4 linked regions of the Caenorhabditis elegans genome follow. The protein of the gene in region 4 interacts with the protein of the main gene of each other region in a pairwise test. Each region holds a gene or a part of one and is shown on either strand. Other genes may lie near its edges. The genes, in order: ceh-30, K03B8.4, sox-3 and hlh-27.

The links.
Region 1: the proteins of hlh-27 (region 4) and ceh-30 interact in a two-hybrid assay, tested with the Caenorhabditis elegans proteins (one large-scale study listed by BioGRID).
Region 2: the proteins of hlh-27 (region 4) and K03B8.4 interact in a two-hybrid assay, tested with the Caenorhabditis elegans proteins (one large-scale study listed by BioGRID).
Region 3: the proteins of hlh-27 (region 4) and sox-3 interact in a two-hybrid assay, tested with the Caenorhabditis elegans proteins (one large-scale study listed by BioGRID).

What each region holds. Positions count from the first base shown.
Region 1 is NC_003284.9:3,061,566-3,066,052, reverse strand, and holds ceh-30 (Homeobox protein ceh-30), read right to left. Parts: upstream 2,480-4,487; 5' UTR 2,348-2,479; coding exon 2,164-2,347; intron 1,888-2,163; coding exon 1,632-1,887; exon of another isoform or gene 1,427-1,631; intron 1,319-1,426; exon of another isoform or gene 1,169-1,318; intron 1,166-1,168; exon of another isoform or gene 1,020-1,165; intron 966-1,019; coding exon 692-965; 3' UTR 502-691; downstream 1-501.
Region 2 is NC_003283.11:11,394,187-11,396,753, reverse strand, and holds K03B8.4 (uncharacterized protein), read left to right. Parts: upstream 1-1,629; coding exon 1,630-1,739; intron 1,740-1,787; coding exon 1,788-1,968; downstream 1,969-2,567. Other genes in the region: Zinc metalloproteinase nas-18, read right to left, coding at 156-320.
Region 3 is NC_003284.9:14,690,269-14,694,687, forward strand, and holds sox-3 (Transcription factor sox-3), read right to left. Parts: upstream 2,732-4,419; 5' UTR 2,728-2,731; coding exon 2,524-2,727; intron 2,467-2,523; coding exon 2,341-2,466; intron 2,291-2,340; coding exon 1,982-2,290; 3' UTR 1,966-1,981; intron 737-1,965; 3' UTR 562-736; downstream 1-561. UniProt on the Caenorhabditis elegans protein: Probable transcription factor. Involved in the terminal differentiation of some neuronal cell types. Dispensable for neuronal fate commitment during embryogenesis.
Region 4 is NC_003280.10:5,538,551-5,541,992, reverse strand, and holds hlh-27 (BHLH domain-containing protein), read left to right. Parts: upstream 1-1,779; 5' UTR 1,780-1,783; coding exon 1,784-1,941; intron 1,942-1,997; coding exon 1,998-2,228; intron 2,229-2,275; coding exon 2,276-2,693; 3' UTR 2,694-2,918; downstream 2,919-3,442. Other genes in the region: C17C3.24 (uncharacterized protein), read left to right, coding at 418-480, 906-989.

The sequences.
Region 1 (4,487 bases), on a different chromosome or scaffold from region 4:
AGACCCACTCAGAAAAACAATTTGTGCCTTTACTATGAATGTCAAAATTTTGCTAAATTACTACATATCATTTTTGAAAAAAAATTTTGGAAAATTTTTATTGCGAGAAATGTTTATTGTTACTGGTGAAAACTGAGTTCGATTCACACAAAAGTACCAAAATTTCCAATTTCTATTTGAAAGGTTTTATCATGATCTTTGGACATTTGAACACCATAGAAATAAGTTTTACTAATTTCTCCACATTTTTTGAAAAAGTGAGCTAGGAACCGTCTGTCAGGTAAAGGTATTTGTCGAACAGGTGAGGTGTTAACGACGCCTGCCAAGTATTCTATCTCACATATTTACCTCTTCCGTCGCGATAAAATCAGAACGGTTGCGCCACTCGCCAACACCTGGCGCTTCTGGCACGTCTTGTGTTCATTGTATTTTTGAATGCCCCACCATCTCCAGTTTTCTTATCAGATTTCGGAAATCGTCATCATCCACGAACAGCATAATAAAATAATAATATTATTATTAATGACGTGGAAATGACATAATCAAGCAAAATAAAAATAACACAAGCGATACATATGCAATGTTGTGAAAAAAAGAAAGCGTCTTCTCCCTATCTAACCCATTGAGATCGGTTTTTGTGACTTTAATTGAAAATATTACATACAAATTTTAAAAATTAACACAAGAAATACTATTCTGAGTTGCTGGAAACATCCAACTGAGGGGATTCACTGGATATGTGAGTGGATGGAGAATTTGAAGAGGAGGAAGGCTGGAAAGCATGGGCTGGGGGAACAATCATAGACATGGGTAGGCCCATCATCGGTAGCTGAGTGCCCATAGGTAAGGCTGTGATATAGTTGGCCCAATATGGACTGCTTCTGATCAAGTTCTGAACTGCGGAGAGGTTTCCAGGTTCCGATAGAAGATCCATTCCACTTGTTGCCTGTCGCTTCCATTTTGTTCTATAAAAAACATTAAGTAATTTGAGTAATTTGAATTGCCGTATTTTGTTCCACTAGACCGGACGTCTTCACTTTTCACATCTTAATTTTTGAGTGTCCCGTTATTGTAATAATGATGTTTTTATGTCGCAACTAGATATATTATATGTATTAACCACCACTTGACTATATTCGGATTAATTCAACGCTGCCGAACCTTGGGACCAAAAGCAGGTGATCTGCCTCTTAGCGGACTCATACGCCTCATTATTGTGCAAAAGAGCAGGAGACCACCCCGGCGATAACTACACAACAATAGCGACGTTTTGAAAGGTTTTCCAGATTGTGAATGCATGGATACATTTCAAAAGAGGCACAAATTCGTCTATCCACTTCATTCACCAATGAAACCGATACTAAAAGCTGGTGAAAATTTGATGATGACGACGATGATGATGCTCTGATGACAAGTCATCACATCAAATATTCACATAGAACACCGCCGCCTTGAACAATAATTAGGAAATGTGAGCGTGGTTGGTGTAGTAATCTACAAGGGTGGGCTCAATTGGCGGCTACGCTTGTTATTAATTTGAGAATGTACATATGTATGTTAAGAATTGACTCTGCTACCAACGATAATTCCAACGATAATTCCAACGATAATTGAAAGACGTTATTACTAACCTTCTATTTTGGTACCACGTCTTGACTTGAGTATCAGTGAGACCCATTCTGTGCGCCAAATCCATCCTGTCCTGGACTGATAGATACTTTTGCTTTTCAAATGTATTCTCCAACTCTTGCAACTGCTTGTCAGTGAAGATGGTTCTTGCCTTCCGAGATTTTTTGCAACTGCCTGGACTACCCATTCGATCGCCGCCGGGGCTGCTTGCTCTTGGCGAAGTTGAAAAATCAGATTTAATTGATTGTGGCGATGGGTCTGAAAGTTGATGGTTATTGATGCACAAAAAGAACAAAACAAAAGATTGACCCCGGAAGAGAACTGTATTCATATGTTCATTAAGGCATTAATCCTTTTACCCCCCCCCCCCCCTACATTCAAACTATCATTTCCGGGTAGTCACCATTGAGAGGAGAAAATCGAGAGCATGGTTGAGTAAATTTTTGATGGGTAACGCGCCGCGCACAAAACTTTTAATGGCTGTCGTTTTGAATGTTTGGAATTTTGGAATCAATTGCAGGTGTAATGACTTACCGTGATCGTTTGAATGGGATGAATTGTTTGGGGATTGCTCGAGAATGTCAGAAATGCGGAATGAAGAAGAAGACGAAATTTTGTTGCACGGGGAAGTTGAAGCTGCTTGAGCTAGAAGTGCTTGTGTAGTCGGATCCAGATAAAAAGCGGGAAGCAGAAACTGCCGAGGGTCGAGAAGTGACATTTTGGGAAGTGAGTGGTACTGTAGAAAAGTGTTAAACGAATGCTTTGCACGTTCGAAAGTCGGGAATGCGACACTGTTGAAGGCACCGATGATTGGTTATTGTCGGACGATGAGGGGTGACTATAAGACAAGTTAAATGTGCGAGAGTGGGCGGGGCGACGGCCTGGCAATTTGGGTGAGAGAAGAGGGTGCGTTGACATTGGGAAGGATGATGCAGCAGCAGCTACCACCACCGCCCTCCTAAACATGGTCATGACAATTACACTCGATTTTCGAGATCCAACGCCACATGAGAAGTCAATTATTTGTATTTAATAACACGAAATCTATAACTTGACCTTTCATTTTGCACATCTCAGATGATGCGGGGGAAAATGATGGCGAAAATGAGATGGGGGAAGATGGTTGGGAATAGCTGCACACTGCGGCTAATTGGAGCAACCTGTCAAACGGTGGTTCTAGGGAAACATTTGATGAATTGTCAAACTTGGAAATAAACAATATGGAATATTATTCTGCCAAAGCTGGATATCGAACTCTAATTTTCAGGTTGGTGCTCGAAATGTTAAAGTTTCATTTTCACAGTTTTTCACTTACTTGCAGAAAGACCATCTTACTAATCTCCATATATAAGCTTAGTCGGTTTGTTTTTCACAAAATCGACAAAAGGTTACTCAACGTATTTTTCGGCAAAAAAAAGTTATAGAAGTTACGGTAAATTTTTGTTACGAATCACGATTTCAGTAACCTGTAGAAATACGGTGATTGTTTTTTATTTAATTTCAAATAATTTCAATCATTGTTGTAAACACTCTGTTTCCTTTTTTTCTGAATGAATACATATTTTTGTCGCTTTTCTCAAATTAGTTCTGTTTATAGTTTCATTTTCCCCCAAAACACGTAATGTTGCAATAGAGTTTCAGAATAAGGCCACTTGCCGATATTATGAACAATCTTCGCTCTGTCCTTGAAACAATGCATTTTCACATCTTAACCAGACACAAAAATAATTTGAAACTGCAAAAAGCGTTAAAATCCCATATTCGGAGTGACAAAACCCATGTAATTAACATCCACCGATTCCTATATTTCGAAGAGAAATCTACTCTGAAGTGTCGATTAATTTTGCATACTAACCGTCAATTACAAAACAAATAAAATGGTTTTTTGTTTCGCGATTCCAAGCCGATTGGCATGGAAGGACATTCAGCTAATTTTCGACCGCCCAGCTATGTACATAGACATGTTTCAAAGTCATTGCGTTCCTCATTCCGCCAGCAGTTGTTTTATTTGATAGTTCACATAAATCATTCTCATTAGCTCTTTCTTCTACTTATATATTTGCTACCTTGGTAATGTTGAGAAACAAGATGATCGTTCCGTCCTTGTATATTTAGAAGAGGTGCAAAAAGCGGAGACACTTTCAACTCAACGTAGCGTAAAATATTGGGCGCGCAGGAAGATTGACTGGAAAACGATACAGTTACAAATTGAAAAATGGGAAGTTGAAAAAAAAAGGAAAATTGGAAGTGGAAATGAAAATGCATTAGAGATAATTGTCATTTGCCATTTCCCCCACTCTTAATTGTGAACATACATCTTGACACCCAGTAACAAGAAAAAAGCTGGCAATATGAATATGAGCTTGTTTAGGAGACAGAAGCCGCCTTTGAAATCTCCCGGGTAAGCAGGTTCTATTACATAATATCGTATCCTTTCCATACAGCTCATTACAATTGCCAACATAAATAATTAGATTAAAGGACACTCCCGGAAAGGTGTCGCAGACCGGTGGGACCAGCACACACGTGGCTGCTCTATTGTGTTCTGTTGCGCAATAGAGACGCTTCTTTTTTTTTGACAATGGCAATTGAGACCAGGTAAACGACTCCTTCAAGTGTGTGAAGCGGTGTTTATCAAAGCCACCCGGCAATTGTGTCCTTTTTAGGCACCTTTTTATGTGACATGTTGACTTATAGCTTGCACCGATCAGCGGCAGGTTAACGAATACAATTGATGGAACTGCCGGAAGTGTCAGGTTATGGATAAATTTGAAGAGTTATATAGATAGTTGGAAAGATAAAACGCTGCTTTGATAAACATGAAATTTATTTCAAAATTCTTATTACTTAAATATTAA
Region 2 (2,567 bases), on a different chromosome or scaffold from region 4:
TGGAAATAGTTTGCAGTTTCTAGAAAATGCCCACCACTACCAGAAAATAATCCACTTTTTTCACACTGTTAAGGCAACACATAAACATTAAGTTGGTCGTGAACGCCGAGAAACGGAAATATACATATGTATGTCGAAATGAAAGAAAAACTCACGTCTATGCACGTATCGTTAAATGTTAGATGTTGTACTATGTTATTCATCCCAATGTATGATGAACAGCCTTTACCGTTAACAAGTTGGACCCTGTTAGGAATTGAACAGTTTTCTTCAAAAGTCACGCAAGTTTGTGAAGATATGAAGTTCATGGAGAAAAGCATCAATTCTCGCTTTTCAGTACCTCAAAGTACATGTTTATAAGTTGTATTTCACTACTTCAAAATATAATAGAACTTACTGAATGAAGAATCAAAGCAATATAATAATTTTGCACTACTCGGTAGTTGGCTCCTCCTGGGGCGCGAAGGGGGTGCGACTGGCGCGCGAAAAGAGGTGAAATGCGCCTGGCGCGAGGATAGGGCGTGACTGGAGTGCGGAACAGGCGCGCTCGGATTGTGAAAAGAGTATTCTGAAACTGCCAAAGTGTCTACATAAGATGTATTAATCAATTTCTTGCGAACATATTATTGCTTTGAGACATATTTTCACACAAAAGTGAATTGTGTTTGTTCTATACGTTAATTGTAAACGTTTTGCAGCCATGCTAGTTACTGAAAAACCAAAACTTCAATTTAAATTCTGATATGAGGTTAGAAGAGAACAATATGGTTCATCTTACAAGGAAATTGTATTAAAATCTATCAATAATCGTACTGTTATCTAATGATGTTACGTTATAAAATATGTTCATTTTACCTATGCAGATAAAGTTAAGGCGATGTCTTGAGAATGTCTCCATTAGGAAACTCGCAGCATTGGCATTGTGGAGGCACGATGCACACATTCCTAAGAAAGTTGCCCCTAAATGCCAGGTATATTTTCCAATAGAAAGATATAAAAGATATGTGTAGTTTGTGTGAACATCTTCAAACTAATTTTCTAGATCACATGTCTCGTTGTTGTATTTTATACGTTTAGTATTGTGGCACCATATTACTGAAAGCTGAAAGAGACTAGATTGGCAATTATTATATATCAACTACATCATTCATACATATATAACATATAAGTGAAGAGATATATATATATATATATATATATATATATATATATATATATATATATATATATATATATATATATCAACCTGTTTTGGCAATGAGGCTGTCTGAAAGTAACAGGTTCGCGAAGAGAAACTGTTTTTGCACGCCGTCCGCGTTCTGACCGCGCCCCATCCGCGCCCATTCCGCACTCCTTCCGCACCCCTTCCGCGCCCCGTTCGCGCAACACGAACGACAATCCGTCCAAAATTGGCTTATGTTCGAGAAACACCACTTCTCGATGAGCAGCCTGCGGCTCCTGCTATTCCAGAGTGAATAGAATGAGATTAATGAAAGTGATTTATGGAATGATATAACTCTTGATCAAAAGTGTTATGATATTATCGAACAGATCAACGAACTGAAGGCTCGCCGCGATTTCTACGCAAGATTCTACACCGAGCCCGCAGAATTCATCAAAAGCTGGGTGATGAGCCAGAATTCGGACCTGAAGACTATGAACGAGCTGAGCGGGGATCTTGAAGCCGAAAGATTCGCTGAATCCTACGTGAGACCTGAAACAGAGGAAGGAGTTCAAAGGTATTAATGTTTTTCGGGGGTTCTAGAAATTAAAAAGTTTTTTTTCAGATACATGTTCCAAAAGGTGAACCAGAAGCGACATGAATTGGAGCAAATCTTGGTGTTCGATCAAATTAAGGCTCCATTGCCAAAAAAGAAGAAGTATGTGGACTCAAAACAGGTAAAGAAAAAACGAATTATTGCTAAAGAAAACCAGCTAGTAAAACAATGTAAAATATTAAACGAATAACAAAATGACATATAGGAAACCATGAAATGATAACTTTGAATTAAATTAAGTAACAAAAAATTGATGAGACTATTTTTGAGCTTTGAAGATGCGAAGCTACATATTTGCAAATACGTAGCTTTTGATCAAAACATTTTTGAAGCAATAGGTTGCTCTAGTTGCCGTTTCACGGGCATAATTGTGTAAGTCTATTTTTAAAGATATTTCATTGATTTTTTCAATATACTGACTTAATTAAATAGATTAATTTGAGCTTTTCAGAGAGGATGATGATCAGCAACACCAGTCTCCCGCCGTCTAGGGATCAATTGGCCTGCAGCCAAGCTGTCTTCAATCTGTTAATTTATTTTTTAATTGTTTTTCCATTGTTCGTTGTTGTAATAAATGCAATTCTTATTAATCTAAGATTTCAATTTCAATATGAAAATCGGCGGGAGCGAGAATAAAATCGAACCGGGCGCGTAGTGTGTGCGAAAGAAATGCGCTCGGCGCGCGAAAATTGTGCGACTAGATCGCGAGACAGTAGCCTAGTCGCGCCCCGTCCGCGCGCCAGTCGCACCCTCGTCGCGCGCCAAGCGAGCCAAACTACCGAGTAGTCC
Region 3 (4,419 bases), on a different chromosome or scaffold from region 4:
GCAACATGACCTGTTTCTATAAATTTCCATCTAACAAATGACCATGAAATGGTTTAGACTTCCCTCAACTTTTTTCTCAGCGTGTGAACCGATTTGATTAGGCGTTTTAAGTGCGGACATTGTTCTCTTTGTTCAGGCAACCTCAACGAAAAAAAAAATGTAACTCCATGGGGGTATCGGTCGTCAATGACAGAGGAGGTGACAGGGGACAGCAAATGGTAAATATCAATGGCAAGGGACAGTGGGGGTGAAAATAAAGGAGAGAGGAGTAAAAGTTGTTGAATACCTTCTTTCCTTCCTTGATTCTATTCATTCGTTTCAACCAACAATGAATTGGAAGTTTGTTCTTGAACAATTCAATCTATTGTATTGAATTTGTTGTACAATAGAAGTCGCAAAAATTGAATACTAACATTACATTGGGCGCCTATTTATTCTTGTACACTTTTGCGGCAGGCACACTTTGAACAACCGTTAAAAAAAATACCGTATCCTGGTGATGAGCTTTTGAGTGCAGCTGACAAATAGATAAAATTGATAAAACCCAAAGTTTGTAGTTATTTCTTCACAAAATTTTATATTTCATTTATGGAAGATACAGCAAAATAGAAAAGTACAGGTAGGTTGCACATAGCACATTCGAATCAAAATTATCGAAAAATTAGAATCAATTTGTCTGTATGGCATTTGTAGGGAGATTCTGCTCATTGAAGGTGAAGCATGGTATTGAGCAAACCTGAAAATCAGATGGTAGTTTAAAATACAAAGTAAAACACAATTCCCAAACACATATAGACTATTCATCATTATTCTGAGTCATTTTTATTGTCTTTTCTCCGAAAGCGATAAGAAAATGGAATCATTGCTCATCTTCAAATCTAAACTGCACACATATGTCAATCATTCAGTAAACAGTACATTTCAACACAAAGCGCGCGACTTATTCGACTTATTCGCGCATGATACACTCACACCTTTTCATTCATTCATTTTTTGTGTGTTGGAAAAAATCAAACCGATACACTTCAAGTGAAAATAATAAGAATTTGGCATGGAACAATGTAACCGTGTGTAACCGGAAGTGCGCGAGGTGCACAATACACAAATTGGCGGGAGTCGAATTTAGTGGTGGTGTTAATTCAAAAAGAGAAGGGGGAAAGGAGGGTTTTACACTTGGACGCGTTTCTTATGGTTATGAACCGATTTCGGTCGGAAACAAGTGACCGACCACCTAATGTCTTTATAGCGGAAGAAAAGGAATGAATGACTTGTGGGAAAGTTGATATTTGAAAATTGAAGTGTAGTAAATTGTTGGGCGATTTGTATAGTTTGAAACAAGACTAGATAAGAATTAAGAGCAAAACGTCAACTAGAAGTTCAACGGAACATCAAGCCAACAAAAACCGTAAGATATATTCTTCCCAAAAGCTTTGCCTACCGTTAAAATTAACTTAATCTTTAAAAGTAAAAATTTCAAAATTTCTCAAATATTGTGAGCCTAAACTACTAAATTTTAATGTTAAAACTTTTCAAAAATTATTATTGCGTATTCAAGTTTTGATATGGAAAGCCTCAAATAAAATATTTTCAAATTTGGGTAGCTTGTTCATTACAGCCGCTGACTTATTTTTTGTCGATAAGCTCACAAAAATAAGCAACACATTTGTGTATTTATCGACTGTAACTTTTTTTAAAAATAAAACAAAAATGGAATCAACTACTGTAATATGGGATTGCGGTAGTTTGGGATTTCAGCTACACCGATTAATTTGTTTCAAAGTTTTGAATGTCAATAACACATATATAAGACTTTTTCTAGAAATTTTAGAAATACAGAAATGACTAATATATTGTTATGATACATTTTTTACTCTTATGTGGCTCTTCAAAGATCAACATTTCTCTTTTCTGTTAATTCAAAATACCTATACCTTATTAAACAATTCAAAAAAAAGTGTAACGTACATGACAATTCAGCAAGTTACGTGGCAGGAGCTGTTGGCGTTGTTGAAGCCGACACTTGACTTGCAGCAGCCACGGCTGCAGCTTGTCTCGCATAAGCAGCCATCATATTGTATGGAGCATAGGTTGAGCCGGATAATACGGGCGATTGGAAGAATGATGAGTAGTATTGGGAGAGGTCATGGGTTTTCAATGAGTCGAATGCTGTGGAATAGTTGAAAAGTGATTGTGGCGGGATGGTTGGCATGGCGATGTTCAAACGAGGTTGTTGCTTCAGATTGGAGGATTTTGGCTTTCTTCGTGGACGGTATTTGTAGTCTGGGTGCTCCTGAGTATAGAAATTAATAATATAACTATTGAAAAATGTAATTAAACTACCTTCATATGTAAAGCTCTGAGCCGTTTTGCTTCATCAATAAATGGTCGTTTTTCCTGCTCTGATAGCTGTTTCCATTCTGCACCCAACCGTTTACTTATTTCGGAATTGTGCATTTTTGGATTATCCTGAATAAATTACTTACTTACATAATAACCTAAAAAATTTAAATATTTAAAATGCACCTGTGCCATTTTCCTTCTCTGTCCTCTGCTCCAAACCATAAATGCATTCATCGGCCGTTTCACATGATCCAGCGAGTTTTGTAGATCGACTGGAGAGCCCGGAGGGCTTAAACCAGATGAAACAGACGTTGTGTCTTCGTCATAAGATGTTTTTGCAGCTTCAGTGCATAAAAGTGAAGGATACAGACAAGAGAGGTCAGTCATACCGCTGAAAGACAATGTATGCTAACAAAACTTTTGAAAAAATTAATACCAAATACAAATAATTTCGGGAAAACTTTGGAAATAATTTGAAAACAAGAAACTAGAAACCGAGAACTGGAAACCCTACTCATAAAATAAACGTAAGAGAGAAAAGAAAACCTGAATGAGGAAATGGTAAATTTCCGAAAAAAAAAAGAAAGAGAGACAGACGCGTGCTATATTATGCGTGTCCTCCCTCGTCTCAGTGGCCAACAAGAGGCGGCGCACAAATAGACGAGAGACAGTAGGCGGAGCCAAAATGAGTTGCGAGGAAATACGGTAATCGAAATTGATACTCAAGATGGCTCCTATGTGACCCTACTGAAATAGCAACTTACGCTGATATAATGATTGCAAGAACTCGTAGGAAGGTGAATGAAGTCAAGCATGAACTGTGAACTAATTTTGCAAATTCTCAATATTTCAAAAGTTATTCAAGAGTTCCTAGTTAGTTTAGTTCAGTGAAGCAAAACGACTTTTCTAATAATAACGGAACACTGAATACCTAGTTTGAGCATTTTCAAAAACGAATACAAGAAAAACCAAACACGTTTTTTTTTTCCATGAATTCTTATTCGACATCATATGACACTGTGCTAACAAACACATCGTGCTGATACTTTGGATGATACAATGTTTTAGATCGAACTTTTTACAGAGGAAAGTTAGGTGAAAAGTGACGGTTGACGATGGACGATGGGGCACAATATTTAATGTTGAAAATGTGTAAATTCGTGTTCTGTTTAGAATGTTGATTGTTCACTTCCGACCCCTCTCCGAACAGAGTTGGACGGGACGCAAGGCAAGAAATTTCAAAAAATTGCAAACGTGTTAAATCCTTAATTTAAATCCATTTCAAAATTTTTATGGTTTCCAGCACAATTATGTTTTTGAGCTCAACAAATTTTTAAATTGTTACCTGAACGTATTCAGAAACTTATATATAAAATCTATAAAACTAGATTTTTTAAATACCTAAATGATGTATCAAAACTTTCAAAATCAATTTGAAATTTTAATAAATATGTAGAGTATCTTTAGTATGGATAAACTTAAGATAATCCAACGTGATTGAATGTTATAGGAAAAAATTGAAAACTTTAGATTTAACAAACTTTGCAATCAAATTTTGGTAAATTGTTTAATATATGAAAAATTTGGGCTTCAAGGTACTTAGAGTATTGCCGCTTGTTTGAACTACTATTAAAAACAATTGGAAAAAAATTAAAATATACTACTCCTAGTGAAAAAGTTTTTTGGTCGACTTCAAAATTATGATAGGTAAAAGCTTTTTGACTGTGTATATATAAAACGTTTTACAGTGATATTTGGAAATTATAGCATTATAAGGCATATGCTCATGCTTAAATACTGTTATCCTATTTTTAATTTTCAAGCATATGTATATGAGTTATGAGGCATATGTATATGAGAACTGAGTCCCTTATTGTACCTCTAACTGGAAAATGTGTAATGTTTCACGTTCTAGACTACATTTTCTCTGTACTCATTACCTCCGTACCTCACCCTGTACCTTGAAATTCTACAGTACCCCTCTCCTGTAAACATTAGCTACTCACACAAAAAACAATACACTTCACATGACAAAAACTATTATTTTTACAAGAATTGAGAAAAGAAAGGGAAAAATGG
Region 4 (3,442 bases):
CCTTTTAGTTGGCAATTGGTACACTTTGGAACACTGAAAACGGAAATATCAGTTTCAGTGATTTTGATTGAAATTGAATACTAATTTCCTCACCAATTACATTCAATCACTTGACTTGACTTCGCTATTAATTTATTGCTCATAGTTTCAGATCTTACCTTCACATCTGCTACAAAATGGACCGCAGAAAGCTTCAAAAAGAGGCAAGAAGTGAAATGAAAAAGGTGAGTATTTCAATCTCGTTCTGAAATTCAACTCATCTTTTATATTCAGACCGCCAATGGCGTCGACCGTGCCACATATAACCGAGCAAAGGCTCTTTTGGAGATAATCCGGAAGGTTAGAAATATACATTTATTCGTCATCACATTACATTTCTAGAATGCCTAGGACCGTTTCAAGACATCTGTGAGAATTATGGAAACCCGCCTTCAGGAAGAGATTGCCACAAATGATCTGGCTTCCTCCACGATCTCCAAGGTGAGTCATGATAATTTTGACTCGGCAAGTTTCCAAAAATTGTCTTCCGTCGTTGTACGATGAAATTTATGGCTTAATATATTAAAGAATAAAAAATAAAAAATTGTAATTTGGGAGACAGATGTGAGTATATTTAAGGTCATAGCTACTGCCATAGGATTACTGTAGCCAATATTCCAGTAGCTGAACTATTCCACGGGCAATCTCCGTTGTTATCATGATACTGTATGATAATTGTAATAAAACTAAAAATCGTTTCTGAGATCATGAGCGAAGATCAAATGAATTTATTGGCGGGTTATTATAAGGCTACTGTCGTGATACTGTAGTGATACTGTTGCCGAAATTCATATCATTGGAGCAAACAGGGAACACAATTTATATTATAAATCGTCCTATCAACTTTCAAACTTATGTCGTTTCAGTCACGCCATGCCATTTTTGCGTCCATAATCGAAGAGCTCAAATCAATTTCCTCTCACTTTTGCATTCCAGCTCTTCCAATATGATTGTTCTCCATATTTATTCTGTTGACCACTGTCAATTCAAAATAGATATCTTCTTATATAAAAATTATGTTCGAAGAAACTGTTGCAAATCAATCTTGTTTAGAATTACTGGCAAAATAATTTCAGTTGTTTTCTCCTATTTTATTTCTTTTCGAGATATTTCTGTTTAAAATGTTGTTCATCCGGTACAGTTGATACTACTATAAACTTATAGAATAAATTAACACAGTGCCAATATCCTAATTCACAGTCTCAGCCGGAATTTCCCAGGCAGTACCCAATCGATATCCAGTCGTCTAGTTTCGCATGGTCCCAAGACAAAACTGGAGATGTCCAGCCTCGTTCTCATGAGAACCTCACTGATGAACCATGGGAACCCATGATGGGGACTGTAAAAATAGAGATTTCAGAATAATTCCCATGGCTCCAAACGCTTGATACAAAGCTCCACCCTCTGAACAATAATGGAACTATAAAAGGTAACCATTTATTCATTGTTCATTTACTTTCTTGGTGGATCACTGGTCTGCTGGTTTAGTATACTTTTTGATAATTGTAACATCAGGAAAGTGTACTGATTTTGATCAATTACTTTTAAAGCATTCAGTGAACTGTATACTTCTAGAAAAACAGCACGAGTTATCTCACTAAACTAAATCAATTTGTGCTGCTTTCTTGGTCTCATTTTTCTGTTTTGTCACAATTATTCCTTTTATTTAACGGCTCATCTTGAAATTTTATAAATTCTAGATTTCTTCTTGATTTTAAAAAGATTAAAACTTATCAAATTTCAGATGCCAAAAGTTATCCCATCTTCAATGAGCGATTATCGTTCCGTCCCATACAATCAAACTCCAAAATCAGGATCTGAACGGAAAAGAAGAAATATTACAAACGAGTTGATTAACGAATGCAAGACGATTGTTCAAAAATCAGAAGAAGAACATATATCGTAAGTTTAAATACTCTGTTAGCTTAAAATAGTTATTAAACTAATTCATTTTTTAGACAAGAAGTAGTTCTCTTCCGAATTGTGAAACTTGTGACTGGAGTTAATCTGGAATCTAATTTCTCATCGAATGACCTCTCCGAATCTACAAGACGGAAGTTTGATACTGAATCCGAAAGAAGAAAAGTGAAGACTGAACGTGAAAAGATTCGAAGAAAGAAACAAGATGACTGTTATGCTGAATTGAAATTCTTCATTTTGAACAAACAAATGGGAAGTTACGAGCAACGGTAAGAGTTTCATTATGGCTAATAAAAATTCAAAAAATTATTTTCAGATTAAAACTTGAACGGATCACAATTCTAGAAATCATCATTGATTACATTAAACACAATTCCGATCTTCTGTATCCAGAAACAATTCCCCAAATACTTCCTCTTTTAGCTGGAAAATCAACTGCTACTTGTGAGAACAAAGAGAATGAAAAGCCAAAAACACGAATGGAAGTGAAGGATCTCTTCCCAAGATTGACGTTTCAAGAAGTTCAAGAATCCCCAACATCTACTTCTCCATTGCTCACATTTCCATGTATTCCAATGATCCCAACTACTCAGTTCAATGTCTTGTCAAACTACAACACCGTTCCATCAATATTTTCTGCTCCCCTCCGATTCATTCTTCCATCACTTCAAATCTTAACACCAGAAACTAGTGACGAGGAAGAAAATGAAGAAACCGTCGATATTAGTAACTAGTCTATCAAGTTCTTCCAGATCTTACAATTAGTTTCTGAGCAATTTTTCGAAAATCTTCATTGTCTATATTGCGTTTTTGATTCATTTTTTTATCTTTCTATGGCCAATATTCCCGAACTTTTTCATCCCATCGCGTCGCAATCTATTTTTGAAGATTTTTTACTACTCACGTGATAGTCTTGTCTAAATTATTCTGTTTGAAAATGAATGTTTATTCGGTAAAATTTGTTAGCCAGAATACAAGCAAGACAAGTATGTATAATCAAAGTTCCATTAGTCCACACCAAATTCCATCTCCCAGTCATACGGAAACTCTTCAATGTCCTTGTCTAGCATCACTTTTTGCAGTGTTGTATAGATCATCTCATAATCGGGCTCCTTGAAGAACGAAAGACTGTCGATATAGCTGGAAATGGAAAATTACGAATAAATCAGCTTTGGTAGAGACTCACTTCATAATCAAGCGAAATTCATCTGGGCAGCCAGCAAGGAATTGGCCCATGATCGGTTGGAAGCGGGAATTCTTCTTCATCGCACCAATCTCGCCAATCTCATTTACATTTTTCCAGGGAAGAGCTGCATTGGTGAAATCGACGAGCATGTAGAACCTAGAAAAACACATTTTCTCAAATAAAAACTATTATTCTTATTTTCAATTCTAAGTGATAACCCAATCTGGCCTTCTGGCATCTTTACAGAATATATCACATAAATGACTAGTTCTTAAATTGATTAAACTAGCCAGCTTT